Schizosaccharomyces pombe: one gene and its partners. The main gene of each other region encodes a partner of the protein of the gene in region 3 in a complex. Each region holds a gene or a part of one and is shown on either strand. Other genes may lie near its edges. A codon is read from its position in the direction of its gene.

Region 1 (3,460 bases), 510 kb from region 3:
TATAGATTTCAATTTCTTAATTGATGCTAGTGTTTGTTGTGCATGAAAGTATTGTGGTATATGTGTAAAGGTAAAGGAAATAGTATTCATACGTTGGGTATCTTATTTGTTGCTTCAGAATAATATAGAATAAAGCACGTAAATAAATGCAACTGTTTACTGGAATAATATTTTGAGCGTTTTTATCTTACATAAATCATGACCCAGCCCTTCTATTAAAACGTGAGAGTAAACAATGCCACTTTGATATGATACGTTCTAGTTCTTTTCCCATAATAAACAGTCAAAAGAAGGTTTTAAAAAAAAATAAAGAAATCGTAAGCTCATGCAATGTCTTTTGCCTTATAAAGAAGGATGTAGGCACTGTCAGCTTCACCACCACCATCGAGAGTTTCAATTTTTTCAGCAGGAACGATAGATACCTTTGCGTCATTGAACCTGAACCATTCAGCACGATTATTGCTATTTCTTATCCAAGCTTGGTAATGGCCTGAAGATGCACTAGCACCGGCGTGTGATAAAACCCCGACTAAATCATAAAGGCCGGTGGGGTTGGCTCCTTCATCATCAGCGAGCTCAGGATCTACTAGTGATTGACACGTCGCAACCTGAGTAAGCCTGCACTCAGCTTCCGCCTCCTTCTCGTCCTCTGAAGGTTGAATTTTGATACGCTTAGCAGCTCGCTCATGTTCTTCATCATTTTTTTCAATTTCACGTAATTTGTCACGTACGGGAATCAATTTTTGTGAAAGTTCAGGAGTACAAAACTCGACTGCATCGAGCTCAAATGGAAACTTAACCTTACGAAGAATTTTAGCCTTTTTCCCTATTGATGCTTTCCAGTAAAATCGAACAAAATTAACAGTTAAATAATTGGGTAGTCGAGAAATCCTTGAGATTTTGCTATACATGGCATCACGATTTAATACATCACTATGCTTAGAAATTTTTTGCGTAAGCCCTTCAAGGATCCCCTGGGTCATATAGCTTGTATGCATAGAGATATGGCAAGGTAAACTCAAAAACGTATCATGTGAAATAGAGGGTTGCTCCTGTACTTCGTTTTCATCACATTTCATAGTAGATAAAAGTTTTCCAGCCATATTTTTTTGTACCCACTCAGATGATAGGGAGCGCTGTAAAACTGATAGCAAGAATGACCAGCATTCCTCAGCATCCTGTTGAGCATAACCCCCAGTTTCTCTACTCATTTCTGCAAACTGTGGATACTCCATGCGTAGACTTTGAAGAAACCTCATTGGTGTAACCGGAGCATTAGATTGCATAGAATTTAATAACGTCCGATATTCTGCCACCAAACCCCCAGAGGAATTGAATTGTGAGACAGCGTCTGATAATTCTGGAATGGCACGCAGCATTTGAACTGTAGAATTCATGTAACACGTGTTGCCTAAGTTTATAAGCCCTGACGGATAGCCATCATCTTCAGATTCCTCTTGTTCTACTGACTCGACAGCTGGAATGGGCATAGCTGTTGGTAGTTCGCCTGCAGTACCCATCATTAATAAAGTTGCATTTGGTTTAATACCAACTGAACCAAGCAAAACATCGTCTTTAAGCTGGCCACCTTTGACAATCACTTTCTGTCGTTCCGGAGGAACTTGTGTCAACGAGTATAGTTGATGTTTCAAGGTGCTTCCTGTTTCATTAGGTTCAATCTCTAAGTCGTACTTCTTCCCTTGCCAACGAATTGCTATGGGAATCATCATAAATGGTTTTTGTAATTAATGAAAGAAATACTTGTTTAAGCCCAATATAATTTTTTTTGTAATTCTTTGCAAATTATACTTATTATATATGTTGCTGGTACTTGGTGAAGGCCATACAGTAACGAGCTATATACTCATTTTCGGTAACACCACGCAGCGTGCGTGGTTGTGCCGCTAAACTCGTTAAGCAATATCACACTGACACTACGTGTTAGCACAAAACCAAACCCGGAGACTGACTCCATAGATTCTAATTATGGTAAGAGAGGAATTCTTTTGTTATAAAAAGATATGATTTATTAACGAAGGCATAGTCTAATACCTTAAGACCTTATTTAAACGCAGTTCGTTCTACTCTGACTGCTTCTTTAGCATTAGAGGAATTCTCATCAGAAATTGTAGAACGCCAGAGTCAGCCGGAAGTTGAGGTTGGACGGTCTCCTGAAATTCTACTAAAGCCCCTGGTGGTCTCTCGTAATGAGCAAGAACAGTGTTTGATTGAGAGCTCTGTTAATAGGTATGTCTTAGGCATCCGATGTTTCCGATTCGAACTGGTACATTCACTGATCTTTCGATTTGGAATAACGGAGTTTTGAAAGTCATTCTCATTATTTGGATTTTTTTTACTGATGCATTTATGAAATTAGTGTTCGTTTCAGCATTCGTATTAAACAAGTCGATGAAATTGAACGAATTCTTGTGCGCAAATTTATGCAGTTTTTAATGGGTCGTGCAGAATCTTTCTTTATTTTGCGCCGCAAACCTGTTCAGGTACGTTATTACAAATTGTAATTGGCAAAAAAGTGTTCAAGGGAAGAATTTCTAGAGATTTTGCGTTAGTTTAAGTGTTCACTGTTCTGCCTCAGCCATTGTATAGTTCTTCTTTTTTTTCTTTTTCGAAGTTGCCATTGCTATTTGTAAATATCATCAAACTAACCTTTCTTTGTTATAGGGCTATGATATTTCCTTTCTTATAACTAATTACCATACTGAGGAAATGCTTAAGCACAAATTAGTTGATTTCATTATTGAGTTTATGGAGGAAGTTGACGCTGAAATTAGTGAGATGAAACTTTTCTTGAACGGAAGAGCTCGTCTTGTTGCTGAAACTTATCTGAGTTGTTTTTAGATTCATGTTTACGTTTTGGACCCTATCGATGATTTTATCAATTTATACATAAATAAATGAGCACCAAATACTTCTTCCGAATAAAATTCCTATCTCTTCTATTCTGTATTGAGTACAATAAACATATCAAGGCAGTTTTACATTCGATAATCCTTCATATCTACAATCTCGCCTTTTGACTTTTAGCATCCTTACAAGATATAACGAAAGTATACGATATGTTGTTACTTATATTAGGGAGCTGTTTCGTAGTTTATTTGATCATTTGACGACTGTAAACAAACTACAATCAACAACATTTTTGCTTTTTAATGATTCTGCCAGAATAAGTAGTTTCTATATAATTTTATGCACTTGCGCTAGTTGGTGGATAATTTTAATAAATACATGCATCCGCAGTTACGTTATGTCTGAACGAGATTTTAATACGCAATCTCCCAAATTTAAAGATGAAAACGCGAATTCTGTGATCAGCCAATCTGATTTTTTGGGGAAATCACTCAAAAATAATAACGATGATTATTCTGATTTCCGTGGTTCGTACCTTAATGATAAATCATCTTTCCAGACGCCTTTGCGCAACGGCTCTTATCAACCAAAA
Region 2 (3,759 bases), on a different chromosome or scaffold from region 3:
ATACAGTTCTTTGTGTCTTCGAGATCGTTTGATTTATCCATTAACAAGTTCGGAATTTTGCGATGTCGCGAATTCTTTAGAAACTCTTGCAATCATTCGTTTGCGCACGAAGCAGCGTAACGGAAAGCCTCAGGACCGAATCATTAGTTTGCTTGTTCCAGAAATGGATGTCATTACAGCTGTTGGAGACATTGGTACCTTAAAACGATTTTTTGACAGAAGATAGTACTATCATTTCTTTCTCATTCTTTTTTTCTATTCATTATATTTTTATTTCACGCGTTACGGTTTTCAAATTTTGCCGAAAGGATCAAATTAGAACATCCTTTCAATTTCGTTGTTTGGATTACATAAATTTGAACAATATTATTTATCCAACTTGGTGTTTAAACTTTTCAGGTTGATCTTTACTAATTTTACTAACTATACAATTAATAAACACTTTAATCTAAGTTATATCTAATGATTATTCGTAAGAACGCATACCCGTGGTTCAGTCTCAAGTGGTGGTATAAGTAAACTTACGTAGCAAAAGCACTTCTCAATTTTGGGGTCTCTAAGAAAAAATATATACACAAAACTGAATATGATTGACAAAAATTTATAAGACGACATAGTAATCATATAAGCTGCGGAATAACAGTTACTATATCTAGCTAAAGCTTGTTCAATTCTTTTATTCTATGAGATTAACATCTACGGAAATTCGATAATTGATTTGATAAGATTCATTTGCCGATATCTTTTCTAAAGAGTCCACAAAACAACACGTCCGTCGGTACCGCTGGAGGTAAACGCAGTAATATTGCCAGGAGTCCCAGCGTAAGGTCGAAGGGTTGCAATCATATTTTGATGAACGGTTGGTAAAGACGAAATAGACTGGCTGGAGCCCTTCAAATCCATGTTACGGAATGTGCTACGAAGAGCAGTAAATGAAACAGGACCCTCTTCCTCTCTACCTTCACCAGTATTTCCTGTGTGAGTGAATGAGGTCTTGGAAGTTCCGGCATCCAAATCGCGAGTATGGGCCCAACCGGACTCATTGCCTTGCAAAAGAATAGGAGAATAGTTATAGCCAGCAGCCACAATGGCACTCTCATTCGCCCAAAGAAGAGAACGCAAAGGCAATTGAGATAATTTGACAGTAATTAGAGCTCGTGGGGGTTGCTCGGGAGCACTGGGATATGCAATCGTAACAGAAGAATCATGGCCAGCATACGCTAAGGCATTACCCGAAGGTGAAAATCCAACGGCGTGAACCCAACCACCAGATGGGTATTCAGCGCAAACAGTGTTGAAAGGTAAACGTGAACCCCAAACGCTGGCTTCTGGTTTGGCATCGACATCACGAACATAAGCAGATAAAACGTATGCCTTACGGTCTGCACAGCCGGCAGCTAATAAAACGTTATTAGGATGCCAGTCCAAAGACAAAATGGTACTACGAAGCGGACGTTTCAGATGTTTGCTGACCCACCAGTCATTTTCTTGTTCAAAGTAGCAAACAGAAATGACACGAGCACCACTACCAACAGCAAACTTGTCCTCGTTAGGCGACCAACGAACAAACGTAGCGGCACGATTCAAACGAAGTAAGACGAGGGTCTGCTTCCAAGTCCCATCAGGACGTTTCTCATAAACATAGGCATTACGGTCTTGAGAGCAAGTTACGATTCGATTGGATTTCGGAGCCCAATCGACACAAGTTACAATCTTATCGTGATCGCTAAATGTTCGGGCATGCTTCCACCCATTTCCATCTTGCTCGTAAAGTTCAACTTGGTTCGTAGCAGTTGTGGTGACAAACTCTATATCAAATTTGTTAAAATCTACTTATTTAGGTCCTATACTGTACCTGTTCTTTGACTATTGAACGCGTGTTCGTAAGAGGGTTTAGGAAGAATGTGTAAAACTTGAGAGGTAGCCATTTTTCAGTAACAGGACTAGCAGTCTACTGTTTTGCGGATGATAGACGATATCCAAGGCTGAATCGATATTGGTGATGACGAGAGCAGTAGATACATTAACAAAAAACGTTAGAGTACTTTATATACGATAACGCATATCGATGGTATCGGTAACTCCTTTGTTTACATTTTAAAGGTTTGTAAATATTACAACTCAATTAAGACTAAAAAAAATTCCATTAAATAAAATTTGATTTTCTTGCATATCTTTTAGAGATTTTTTATTTTTAAAATATGAGGTGGATACAAGATTTCTATTTGCGTTGATTGTGGAAGAACAATAGATCTTAATGTCTTGACAATCGTGAGTGAACGATGCTCTCTGAGTATTTTTCTTATTAATGAATAAATAATAGGGCGAAGAGCATAATACAATAATTCTCCTTTACAACAAAGAGATGTGTTTTAATGATTGCTGGAGTAACTGAAACGTTGCTTCAGAATTTGACAGCGACATCTTGTCCATTATCACAGTTATATTTTGTGCTTTTTAACGATGATTATTTAAAAAGATCACACTTGTTGCTTATACTCAGACTCAGTAGCGTATTTGATATTAAAAGCTGTGCTGTCGATTTTTTCCAATTCAACAAATTTTGTCGCTATTTAAGTAATTGGTGAATGCACACTTCCATATTATCATAGATCTGAATACTATAGAATCAAACTTTATAAGCAAGTGTTGAAAATAAACAAACAATAAATACATTTTCTTTGGTAATCCTTGCTTCGCCAAATTTTCAGTATAAGCCAAAAAGGATCAATCACATTCATTTACTCTGTTTATTTACTAACTTATATAGTCTAGTTTTGTCCATTCGTGTCGCAGCATGATGATCGATTTTGATGGTAATTCCCTCTGTTTTTGTTTACTAATAAACAAAGCAAAAGACATATATAGAGCAAATATTCCAGTTAAATTTTAACTAAAGCGCATATTTTTATTCGTTTGCCTATATAATTAAACACGATTGCCATCAATATTTGTATAGTCTACCCAATTTTACAATACTTTTAAATTCCAACATGCGTACATACTGGTTATTCTTACTCCTTGGGGGGGTCGTATCTGCAGAAAGCTTACTTTCCCCTAATAAAAGAAGCAAGGAAGCTTCTATGGATGAATGGACGGATCAGCAAAAGGGTATTGCTATGGGACATATGCTGAACAATATCGGTGACAGCGGTATGCATGCTAAGGATATTAATCCTGGATGTATTATTGCTTCCCCTTCAACTGATTCCCCTGATTACTATTATCAATGGGTTCGTGATAGTGCATTGACGATCATGACTATTTTAGATCGTTTCTTTGAAGGGGACAAAGGACTTGAGCCGATTATCGTCAAATATATGGATGAAATGGTCAGGCTCCAAAAGGTCCCGAACCCAAGTGGAGACTTTTACGCCGGAGGTCTTGGTGAGCCTAAATTTAATGTTGATGGGACAAGCTATGACGGAGATTGGGGACGTCCCCAGAATGATTCCCCTGCTCTTCGGGCTATTGCATTTATCAAATACATGAATTATTTATTTGAAAATGGTAAAGAGGTCCATGAAGTTACTGTCTGGATTGAGGCTGTATTAGCCGACTTGGATTATACTGCAAATCACTGGACAGAGGCAAGCTTTGATCTTTGGGAAGAAATTAAGGACGTTCATTACTTTACTCTAGCCGTTCAGAAGCGTGCCATGCAAGATGGTACAGCTTTTGCAAAGAGAATTGGAGCACCTGACCAAGCCGCACTCTACCAACGCACGATCGAGCCTATTGATCTAAAACTGGGAGAGT
Region 3 (3,266 bases):
TATGAATGTTTGTTGACAGGATATGCCCGTGGAATAGGAAGTGTAAAAGCAATAATGGAGATAGTTCGCTCCGTAAAATCCAAGAATAAGAAGGCTTTTTGGGGTATGTGCGTTAGAAGTTGCCAATTCCCTTGAAGACTGACATGCTGACGCTAAAAAGTTTTTGATCCAGTTTTGGGAGATAATGGAAGGCTTTATGTCGAAGAAAGCATTATCCCGCTGTATAGAGAGATGCTCCCTTTTGCTGATTTAATTACACCTAATGGGTTTGAAGCAGAGTGAGTACTTTTAAGGAACAATCCTGCAATGAGTTTGAAAATCACTGACTTTTACTTAGAATTCTTTCAGGGATGCGCATAAATTCAATCGACACAGCATTTAAATGTGTGGAATGTCTACAACAAAAATATAAAGTTCCACGGGTTGTCATTTCATCTTTTGTCGTTGAAGAAAACGGCGTAGAAAAACTCTACTGTATAGGATCTTCTATATATTCCAAAAGTTTTTTTGTTCTGATTCCCGTGATTCCTGGGATATTTCGGGGAACTGGTGATCTATTTACAGCACTAATGGCAGCTCATATTGCTGAGAGCCCGGATTGTACTGAGAGCCTTGCCTCTATAAAGGAGGATAAACTTAAGAAATCAGTAGAAATGGCCCTTAGTTCTGTGCATGAAGTGATCCAAAAAACTGCCGACCGAATTTCTGCATTAGGTGTTGAAGAATATCACCCAGCTTATGCCGAACTCTGCATAGTTAATAGTCAAAATAGCATAATAGCTCCATCCAAATTATTCGAAGCAGTATACTATTATTAAATTTCGGATCTTTTATGCGTCTAAAATATGTTGGCCTTACTGTACCAAGGCCTGCTGTTTCAAAGTTGATTTTTTACTATCCGTTTTTCGCTTTCTTTTTTTGGATTGCACGTGAAATTCACAAAATATAGATTTTTTCAGTGTCTTGTTTCGTTTGCCTTTTTTACATGCTAACTTGGTGTTTGTTTTTCTCTTAAATAAAGGTTCATTACGATACCTCTCTTTTGCGAAGTATACAATGTTTTATATTAGAATGCTTATTGAAATTAATTTAGAAGTTTATAACTATTTATTCCATATCCTAAAGACTGTTGACTGGTTTCAAAATTTCGCAACCAAGGTTTATAAAAGCCATGTATTGGTACACTTCGAATTAGATAAAGTAATTAGATTCAGAACTCCTAATATACTGATTAATTTTTTTTTTTTTTTTTTAATTTCTAACATTTTAGATAAAATATTCAGTATATCCATAGACGGTAAAATAGTAGAAGTTTACCTAAGAAGCAAAAGGTAATCTAGAACAAAGAATGAGAACAAAAAGATTGTTAGTTCTTTAAAAATATATATTGAGTTCATGGTTTTAATATGATCTGTTGTTTTCTTACATGTTTGCAGATGCCTCAGTATAAGGATTTATAACACTATATGAACCTGAGTAATAAGAATTCCCGGGTCCGTCACACGTTAACCATCAACCATGCTCTCATTAGATTATAACAATATATTCATTTACGAGTTACTGACAGAAAGGTTTTCAAGGTATGTGAAACAAACAATAAAGAATTTCACTAATTTATAGCGAAAACCCGTCGTCGATTGATCAAGTGGTAACTGATTTTGATGGCGTCACGTTCCACATTTCAACTCCTGAGGAAAAGACGAAAATCTTGATCAGTCTGTCTATGAAATGCTATCCTGAGCTTGTTAATTACGGTACTCTGGATTTACTGAAACAGATTTACGGTGCTTATGTGCATGAACCTGAAATGGGATACAACTTCAGTATTCTTATAGACTTACAACAACTTCCCGCTACCGATGAGGAAAAAGAACAATTAGCTATGTCTATTTCTATGTTAAAAAGAAACGTTTTAGCTGCTCCCTTCCACCGTGCATTCACCAAACAAGCCGAACTAGCTGATTTGGCTCGTAAAGACCCGGAAAATGCCCCTATGCTTGACAAGCAAGCCACTTCTCAGGAGCTCATGGCAATTCATTATCGTGATGAAGAAACTATTGTTTTATGGCCTGAGCATGATCGCGTTACAGTCGTCTTTTCAACGAAATTCCGTGAAGAGACTGATCGCATCTTTGGCAAGGTATTCTTGCAGGAATTCGTTGATGCCCGTCGCCGTCCGGCTATTCAAACCGCTCCTCAAGTGCTCTTTTCCTATAGAGATCCACCTTTGGAGATTCGTGATATTCAGGGTATTCAAAAGGGTGATGACTTTGGATTTGTAACATTCGTTTTATTTGAGCGTCATTTTACACCTCAAAATCGTGAAGATTGCATATCTCATATCCAGGTTTTCCGCAACACCCTACACTTTCACATTAAGGCTTCCAAGGCTTACATGCACCAACGTATGCGTAAGCGTGTTGCTGACTTCCAAAAGGTTTTGAACCGGGCCAAGCCCGATGTGGAATTGGAGAGAAAGACAGCTACTGGTAGGTCATTTGTTCGTGCTTAATGTTCCGTCCCATGTTGATCCTTTCTTTCATCGTATCTTCATACGTAGTTATGATCTTTATATATGCTTCATGCTTCCCTCTCCTCGTAACAAACGTGAATTGTTTCTCACCCTTTTTTTCTATTCAAAGCTGGGTTGATTAAATGATGCTAGCGCAAAATACAGGAATATCAATCTTTGATTGTAGATACACACGTTACATAAGAGATGCTTATTTTTTGAAAATGAAAATTGTATTATACAAGTCATAAATAGTAACTGTTCTAAAGGACAAACTTTGAATAGCTAGTTAAGCCGTAATTTTGTAGCGCTATTGCAAAATACTTAGAAGAAGGAGAAAATAATCGCAAATTGATTTGTAAAAGCTCCGAAAAAGGAACTTCCTCATAAAATTTAAAGTATATTCTTTATATCCGTTTTCTGAGTAACATTATAGTTCTCGAAAAGAAGAACGTCTTCTTCCTTCGTGACTATCAGATTCATTTTTTCGTTTTCTTCTTCGACTAGTTTCTGTCGAGTCGTCGAGGTCATAAGCTGGACTACGTGTATGGGGACTCGACAGGGAAGAAAGAGAAAACAGTCTGTCTGATTCCGAATAGTCTGCACGACGGCGGAGGTTTGATGCATTGTTTTTTAAAAGACCTTCGAATCCACGAATAATGTTGCCAGTACCCGATGTTTTTTCTAAGTAACTGCCTTCCAGCCTATAGATAGAGTCCTCGAGACCTATTAACGAAGTTTCCAACAATTGTCG
Region 4 (4,374 bases), 2.4 Mb from region 3:
TGGTTTCAACATCAGATGCTTCAGATATCCCGTATGACCCTTACTCCCAGTTCTGGGGAAAAGTGTTGGTATTAACGTTTGGGATAATCTGCGTTGTGTTTGTCATATTTATGTTGCATCATGAAAGAATTAAAGCGTGTCGAACCATAATTTCTGCACGGGAACAGCAGAGAACACAACACTCAATTCACAGGAGAGAGCGCTCTTCTTCCGGAGCATCACAACAATTCGAACATCATGTTCGACAGACTGATTGCCTCCCTCTTTATGAACCTATTACTGCTCTTAACCAGCAGTACTTGAAAACTTTACCCACCACAAGCACACCTCCCCCGCCCGCAATATTTGATGAAAATGGTGAATTTGTCGGCGACGTTCCATCTGTTGCCGGTGCAATTGAACGCCCACCTTCTTATGAATCATTACCTGCTCCGCAAAATGATGAAGTTTAGTTTTTTTTATGATGACTACTTGATTGCTTCTGCTTTCTCTCAACAAATTCGTTGAGTACTTGTACACTTTCCATTTTATCCATCGTTCTTGAATAATAAAGTATTTATCAGGCGGAACCCATCGGTTTCATCCGTTTTCTTTTTTTTTCTCCTTTTACGTTATTAGTAATCACTATATTATTATTCTCATGGTTCTCATCATTATTATTTGGACAAGTTAATTATATACATCTTATTTGATATTGCTCAATGAAAAAGCCTGGAAACATAGCAAACCTCAAGTCTATTTCTTCTAAGGCTAATGCCTGCTCCATTAAACTTTTCATTTTAATCAGTAAATCCTATAGACGCAAAACTCATGATATATTTCATTAAAGAGAATTTCCAAAAATTTGGTACCTACGAGCAATGGAAGCACCATATTCTTCGTAATCTGCTTTGGTATGGCAATAGGATCCGAATTCAGGCTAAACATGTCAGTAAATCTCTACGGGTAAACTAAAAAATATACAAACATAAGATAATGACATACCGTTTGTGCTAGTAAACTGCCGCCAAACCAAACCGCATTTCGTTGACGTTTATGGGAGATAACATTAACGTCTACACCACCACTTTTAGCACCGGAGAGCATTTCACTGCGGTGAATACGCTCGTCAACAATCCGCTTGAGATCTCTTTGTAAGCGGTTGCCAAAGTTCTTAAACAAAGTACTACCACCAGAAAGGACAATGTTTTTATAAAGGCCTTTACGAACGTCAATGGGTGAGCTCTGTACGACGTTGTCCACAAGTTCCGGAAGAGGGGTCAAAAAATCGGAAGAAGCAATCTCAGGATTAAAAAATATTTCAGGTGCGAGGAAGCGTTCAAATCCTACATCAATAGTAGTAGAGTGTCCAGTAATTGATTCAGATGCATATTTTAAATAACGGTCGGGCTCACGATCAAATCTACTAAACTCCTTAACAATGTCCGGACAAACGTAGCAACATTCCTCTTTAATTCTTTCAGCAGTTTTGAGACTTGAATCAGGTTCATTGCGGTCACGTAATAAGGATTGAACAAAGTACGTAACATCACGACCAGCAAGTGGCATTGTCTTAATGGAAGAGCCGATAACATATCCTTCGGCCTAAGGTTTATCAGTTAGTAAAATTCGGGCATATATATATGCATTTAATGTTCAAAACTGTTTATCTAAGCTCGTATTAGATTTTTTATACATACAACAGGAATAATATGAGTAACGCCATCACCAGAGTCAACAACAGTACCGGTCAACGAACGATCAGTAACTTTTGAAGATGTCCAAGAGGCGGCAAGAGCCAAAACCGCTTGAACAGCAATGTAGAGTCCTGCACAGTTGAACGACTCAAACATAATCTCTGCAGTATTTTCACGGTTTTCAGGTGGATTCAAAGGAGGTTCGGTCAAAAGAAAATAATGGTCCTCTGGTTCACAACGTAAATATTTAAAGAGAGACTGTTGCCAAAAACGCTCCATATGGTCCCAATTTTCTATTTGTCCATGACGGATAGGATAGTCCAAAGAATATCCAGCAGACGCCTTTTTCAATGCATCGTTTCCAATAAAAAAGTCCAAGTCCTCAGTTGCCCTTTTGCTTGAGAGATGCCCACTGCCTTTCGAGGCCATGTAAGAAGGCTTTGATGAAACAGCCGGCCCTGAAGAAGCACCCGCAGAACGCGTCGCAATAACAGTGGGGAATACATAAGAAGGAGCATCGTTCCCAGCATAGCTGAAATTAAATTACTGTTAATAAATGCTCAAAAGAGAGATAATAACATCCTAAAACGACTATTACACATACCCAAGCTTGCTATAGCCGGTACCGCTAACAAATAAAGTTAGTAACTGATATTCACGAACAATTTAACTTCGCTACATCAATACTTACTTGTCCATTATAATGGGAACATTAAACGAAGCCATTGCTATTATTTTATGAAAAGGTAAGCGAAAGAGAAGTTGGTTCCAGTTGAAACTCTTAATATCGTCTCGCAACGGTCACCGATGTCGAATTACGTGGGTTAACGGGAAACATATGGTAATTTACGAGATGAGCCGATTACGTTAAATGCGAATGCCCGTATACAACCCACTTTGGATATCTTTACTAAGGCCAAATTAATTTACACAAAAAATTAAATATGTATTTCTTCAATACCAGTACCACCGGTTAAAATTACCAAGTTGCTAAGCTAGAAGACGCTTCTTGCTACTAGAAAATTAAATATTAACGATCTTGCGTTAATCCCTTTTCAGTAATAAAACTAACCACGTTGGTATTATCAAACAATTACAAATGTAGATAGCTATGTCGAATTTTTAAACAAATCATAGTATTAAAGACCTTATGCTTTAAACCTCTTAGCCTTAAACATTTTTAAGCTGTAATCATGGATTTTATATTCACTCATGTAGCAATTATTACTTGTGAACCAAACCATAAACTGTTATTTTAATGCTATTAATTAATGCTCTCATTTGCAATTTCTATTTCAGTTTGCATTCACAATCACAGTTAGGAACCGGACATATTGTATGAGTTGAAAACCATTCTGAAGCATGAGATGCGTGAGCTCCATGGCCACAATTTAGACAAAAGCTAAACCATAACCCAAATCTAGATTTCTGAAGATTAACTTCTTTGACATAGTTTTGAGGTTTTTGAGAAAAGTCATCTTTCTGAGGAACATCTTCATCTCCTAAAGAAAACCCACATACAGAGCACTTTGGAAGAGGCTGTCCGCAATGAGGACAACTTTTTCCCAAGTGTTTTGCTGGGCCTGCTTTACTGACACCTCGTTGAATTGGCGTTGGTAAATTATTACATTCATTCCTATTGGAGAAAGGAAAAATTGGTTTTCTACAAAAATTGCAGATAATGCGTATAGATGGCTCTGTAGCCTTTCTGGTTATTTCTCCTGTGTGATTTTTTGAGAGTTCTGTCCGAAAGATATCAAACTTTGCACGCTCACGGTAAAGTTTCCAGCGGTTTAGAAGCTCTCTATAACTTTCAGTCCAATCCTCTGCACGTTTATCCAGAAATTTCTTAGGTACCACAAATGCAGCAATCAATGCAGCAGTTTGAACATCGCTTGTATGATCAATGTAGTTCTGCAGAAGTTCCATTCCCAAAGGAGTTAAACCTGTAAGTAACAGGCCTTCTGGGTCGCCTGATTGCACTGTAGTGTGACATAAATCGCACAAATAATTACTCAAATCGTCATCTGGTAAAAAGCGAAGAGCAATTCCAAGACGATCTTTTAATGAGAGAGAAACTTCATCTAATACATCTCTCCAATCGGAGTTGGAAACATACGCAAATATTGCACGTAAGTATGGATCTTCCAATTCTGTACTTAAGTTACGAGACATTTCTTTCCACAATGAGTCACTTCCAAAGTTACTTAAGCCTTGCGATGTAATGTATCCGGCAACTGCTGTGGATATGGTCTTCTCCAGCTCATTCCCACTTGATAATATACGGACTACGTTTTCAATTTTTCCGTGGAAAAGTGCTAACCCAGCGGCTTTTACATGCTCATTCTTGCGAATCAGTCTTCTAATTTCCAACAACAAGTCATCATTTGACATTCCTAATCCACAGGCAAGTAAAGCGAGTTGGCGTAAAGGCCTTTTAGTTTGGATAGACGTAAATATATCTAAATCAAGTCTCTCAATAACATCTCTAGCAAGTCTTAAAATTTTTTTTTCTAAAAATTTGCTTTCTTTTGCTTCAAAAACATCGGACATGCTAGTCAATTCAGTATCCATAAACCAAATACCTAGTGCACCTTGATAGCTGAAATCTGTATCTCCTGTGTCTCCAAACAGTGATTCTTCTGATTGTCTATGGCTTAAGTGAATCCAAGACCATAGATCTTTTAAGTATAAATCA

The links.
Region 1: the proteins of arc2 (region 3) and arc4 are in contact, whole or in part, in a crystal structure (PDB 3DWL), measured with the Schizosaccharomyces pombe proteins. Residues at the interface, in NP_593903.1 of Schizosaccharomyces pombe: Leu2 (codon at 1,522), Ser3 (codon at 1,525), Thr188 (codon at 2,120), Ile191 (codon at 2,129), Phe192 (codon at 2,132), Lys194 (codon at 2,138), Val195 (codon at 2,141), Phe196 (codon at 2,144), Glu199 (codon at 2,153), Phe200 (codon at 2,156), Ala203 (codon at 2,165), Ala212 (codon at 2,192), Pro213 (codon at 2,195), Val215 (codon at 2,201), Phe243 (codon at 2,285), Leu245 (codon at 2,291), His249 (codon at 2,303), Asn254 (codon at 2,318), Cys258 (codon at 2,330), His261 (codon at 2,339), Ile262 (codon at 2,342), Val264 (codon at 2,348), Phe265 (codon at 2,351), Thr268 (codon at 2,360), His272 (codon at 2,372), Ser276 (codon at 2,384), Tyr279 (codon at 2,393), Met280 (codon at 2,396), Arg283 (codon at 2,405), Met284 (codon at 2,408); in NP_594116.1 of Schizosaccharomyces pombe: Glu81 (codon at 2,412), Ile82 (codon at 2,415), Ile85 (codon at 2,424), Leu86 (codon at 2,427), Lys89 (codon at 2,436), Phe90 (codon at 2,439), Phe93 (codon at 2,448), Leu94 (codon at 2,451), Arg97 (codon at 2,460), Ser100 (codon at 2,469), Phe101 (codon at 2,472), Phe102 (codon at 2,475), Ile103 (codon at 2,478), Glu125 (codon at 2,725), Met126 (codon at 2,728), Leu127 (codon at 2,731), Lys130 (codon at 2,740), Leu131 (codon at 2,743), Phe134 (codon at 2,752), Glu137 (codon at 2,761), Phe138 (codon at 2,764), Glu141 (codon at 2,773), Ala144 (codon at 2,782), Glu145 (codon at 2,785), Glu148 (codon at 2,794), Met149 (codon at 2,797), Phe152 (codon at 2,806), Leu153 (codon at 2,809), Asn154 (codon at 2,812), Arg156 (codon at 2,818).
Region 2: arc2 (region 3) and arc1 share a complex: the UniProt entries of both Schizosaccharomyces pombe proteins name them as parts of the arp2/3 complex.
Region 4: the proteins of arc2 (region 3) and arp3 are in contact, whole or in part, in a crystal structure (PDB 3DWL), measured with the Schizosaccharomyces pombe proteins. Residues at the interface, in NP_593903.1 of Schizosaccharomyces pombe: Met1 (codon at 1,519), Leu4 (codon at 1,528), Asp5 (codon at 1,531), Tyr6 (codon at 1,534), Asn7 (codon at 1,537), Asn8 (codon at 1,540), Ile9 (codon at 1,543), Phe10 (codon at 1,546), Gln29 (codon at 1,643), Val30 (codon at 1,646), Val31 (codon at 1,649), Thr32 (codon at 1,652), Asp33 (codon at 1,655), Phe34 (codon at 1,658), Asp35 (codon at 1,661), Lys115 (codon at 1,901), Arg185 (codon at 2,111), Glu186 (codon at 2,114), Asp189 (codon at 2,123), Arg266 (codon at 2,354), Asn267 (codon at 2,357), Phe271 (codon at 2,369), His272 (codon at 2,372), Lys274 (codon at 2,378), Ala275 (codon at 2,381), Lys277 (codon at 2,387), Ala278 (codon at 2,390), Tyr279 (codon at 2,393), His281 (codon at 2,399), Gln282 (codon at 2,402); in NP_592898.1 of Schizosaccharomyces pombe: Ile8 (codon at 2,381), Tyr21 (codon at 2,207), Asn24 (codon at 2,198), Ala26 (codon at 2,192), Pro27 (codon at 2,189), Ser28 (codon at 2,186), Tyr29 (codon at 2,183), Asp71 (codon at 2,057), Leu72 (codon at 2,054), Phe74 (codon at 2,048), Trp102 (codon at 1,964), Asp103 (codon at 1,961), Gln110 (codon at 1,940), Gln111 (codon at 1,937), Phe114 (codon at 1,928), Lys115 (codon at 1,925), Leu117 (codon at 1,919), Arg118 (codon at 1,916), Cys119 (codon at 1,913), Glu120 (codon at 1,910), Pro121 (codon at 1,907), Glu122 (codon at 1,904), His124 (codon at 1,898), Asn141 (codon at 1,847), Glu144 (codon at 1,838), Phe147 (codon at 1,829), Glu148 (codon at 1,826), Ser149 (codon at 1,823), Phe150 (codon at 1,820), Asn151 (codon at 1,817).

Annotation. Positions count from the first base shown.
Region 1 is NC_003424.3:3,257,971-3,261,430, reverse strand, and holds arc4 (ARP2/3 actin-organizing complex subunit Arc4), read left to right. Parts: upstream 1-1,946; 5' UTR 1,947-1,986; coding exon 1,987-1,989; intron 1,990-2,043; exon of another isoform or gene 2,044-2,044; coding exon 2,045-2,247; exon of another isoform or gene 2,248-2,377; coding exon 2,378-2,501; exon of another isoform or gene 2,502-2,682; coding exon 2,683-2,859; 3' UTR 2,860-2,960; downstream 2,961-3,460. Other genes in the region: ubiquitin hydrolase Ubp6, read right to left, coding at 324-1,730; gamma tubulin complex linker, pericentrin/kendrin Pcp1, read left to right, coding at 3,266-3,460.
Region 2 is NC_003423.3:2,212,607-2,216,365, reverse strand, and holds arc1 (ARP2/3 actin-organizing complex WD repeat subunit Sop2), read right to left. Parts: upstream 1,969-3,759; 5' UTR 1,929-1,968; coding exon 1,856-1,928; exon of another isoform or gene 1,809-1,855; coding exon 748-1,808; 3' UTR 549-747; downstream 1-548. Other genes in the region: cdc18 (MCM loader), read left to right, coding at 1-226; meu17 (glucan-alpha-1,4-glucosidase), read left to right, coding at 2,994-3,759. UniProt on the Schizosaccharomyces pombe protein: Functions as a component of the Arp2/3 complex which is involved in regulation of actin polymerization and together with an activating nucleation-promoting factor (NPF) mediates the formation of branched actin networks.
Region 3 is NC_003424.3:2,749,224-2,752,489, reverse strand, and holds arc2 (ARP2/3 actin-organizing complex subunit Arc34), read left to right. Parts: upstream 1-1,507; 5' UTR 1,508-1,518; coding exon 1,519-1,580; intron 1,581-1,620; coding exon 1,621-2,512; 3' UTR 2,513-2,766; downstream 2,767-3,266. Other genes in the region: SPOM_SPAC6F6.11C (pyridoxine-pyridoxal-pyridoxamine kinase), read left to right, coding at 1-103, 161-278, 338-818; NuA4 histone acetyltransferase complex subunit Eaf6, read right to left, coding at 2,943-3,266. UniProt on the Schizosaccharomyces pombe protein: Functions as actin-binding component of the Arp2/3 complex which is involved in regulation of actin polymerization and together with an activating nucleation-promoting factor (NPF) mediates the formation of branched actin networks.
Region 4 is NC_003424.3:348,505-352,878, reverse strand, and holds arp3 (ARP2/3 actin-organizing complex actin-related protein subunit Arp3), read right to left. Parts: upstream 2,447-4,374; 5' UTR 2,403-2,446; coding exon 2,368-2,402; exon of another isoform or gene 2,305-2,367; coding exon 2,281-2,304; exon of another isoform or gene 2,209-2,280; coding exon 1,680-2,208; exon of another isoform or gene 1,585-1,679; coding exon 985-1,584; exon of another isoform or gene 920-984; coding exon 824-919; 3' UTR 583-823; downstream 1-582. Other genes in the region: SPOM_SPAC630.04C (uncharacterized protein), read left to right, coding at 1-452; GATOR2-SEACAT complex ubiquitin-protein ligase E3 subunit Sea4, read right to left, coding at 2,967-4,374. UniProt on the Schizosaccharomyces pombe protein: Functions as ATP-binding component of the Arp2/3 complex which is involved in regulation of actin polymerization and together with an activating nucleation-promoting factor (NPF) mediates the formation of branched actin networks.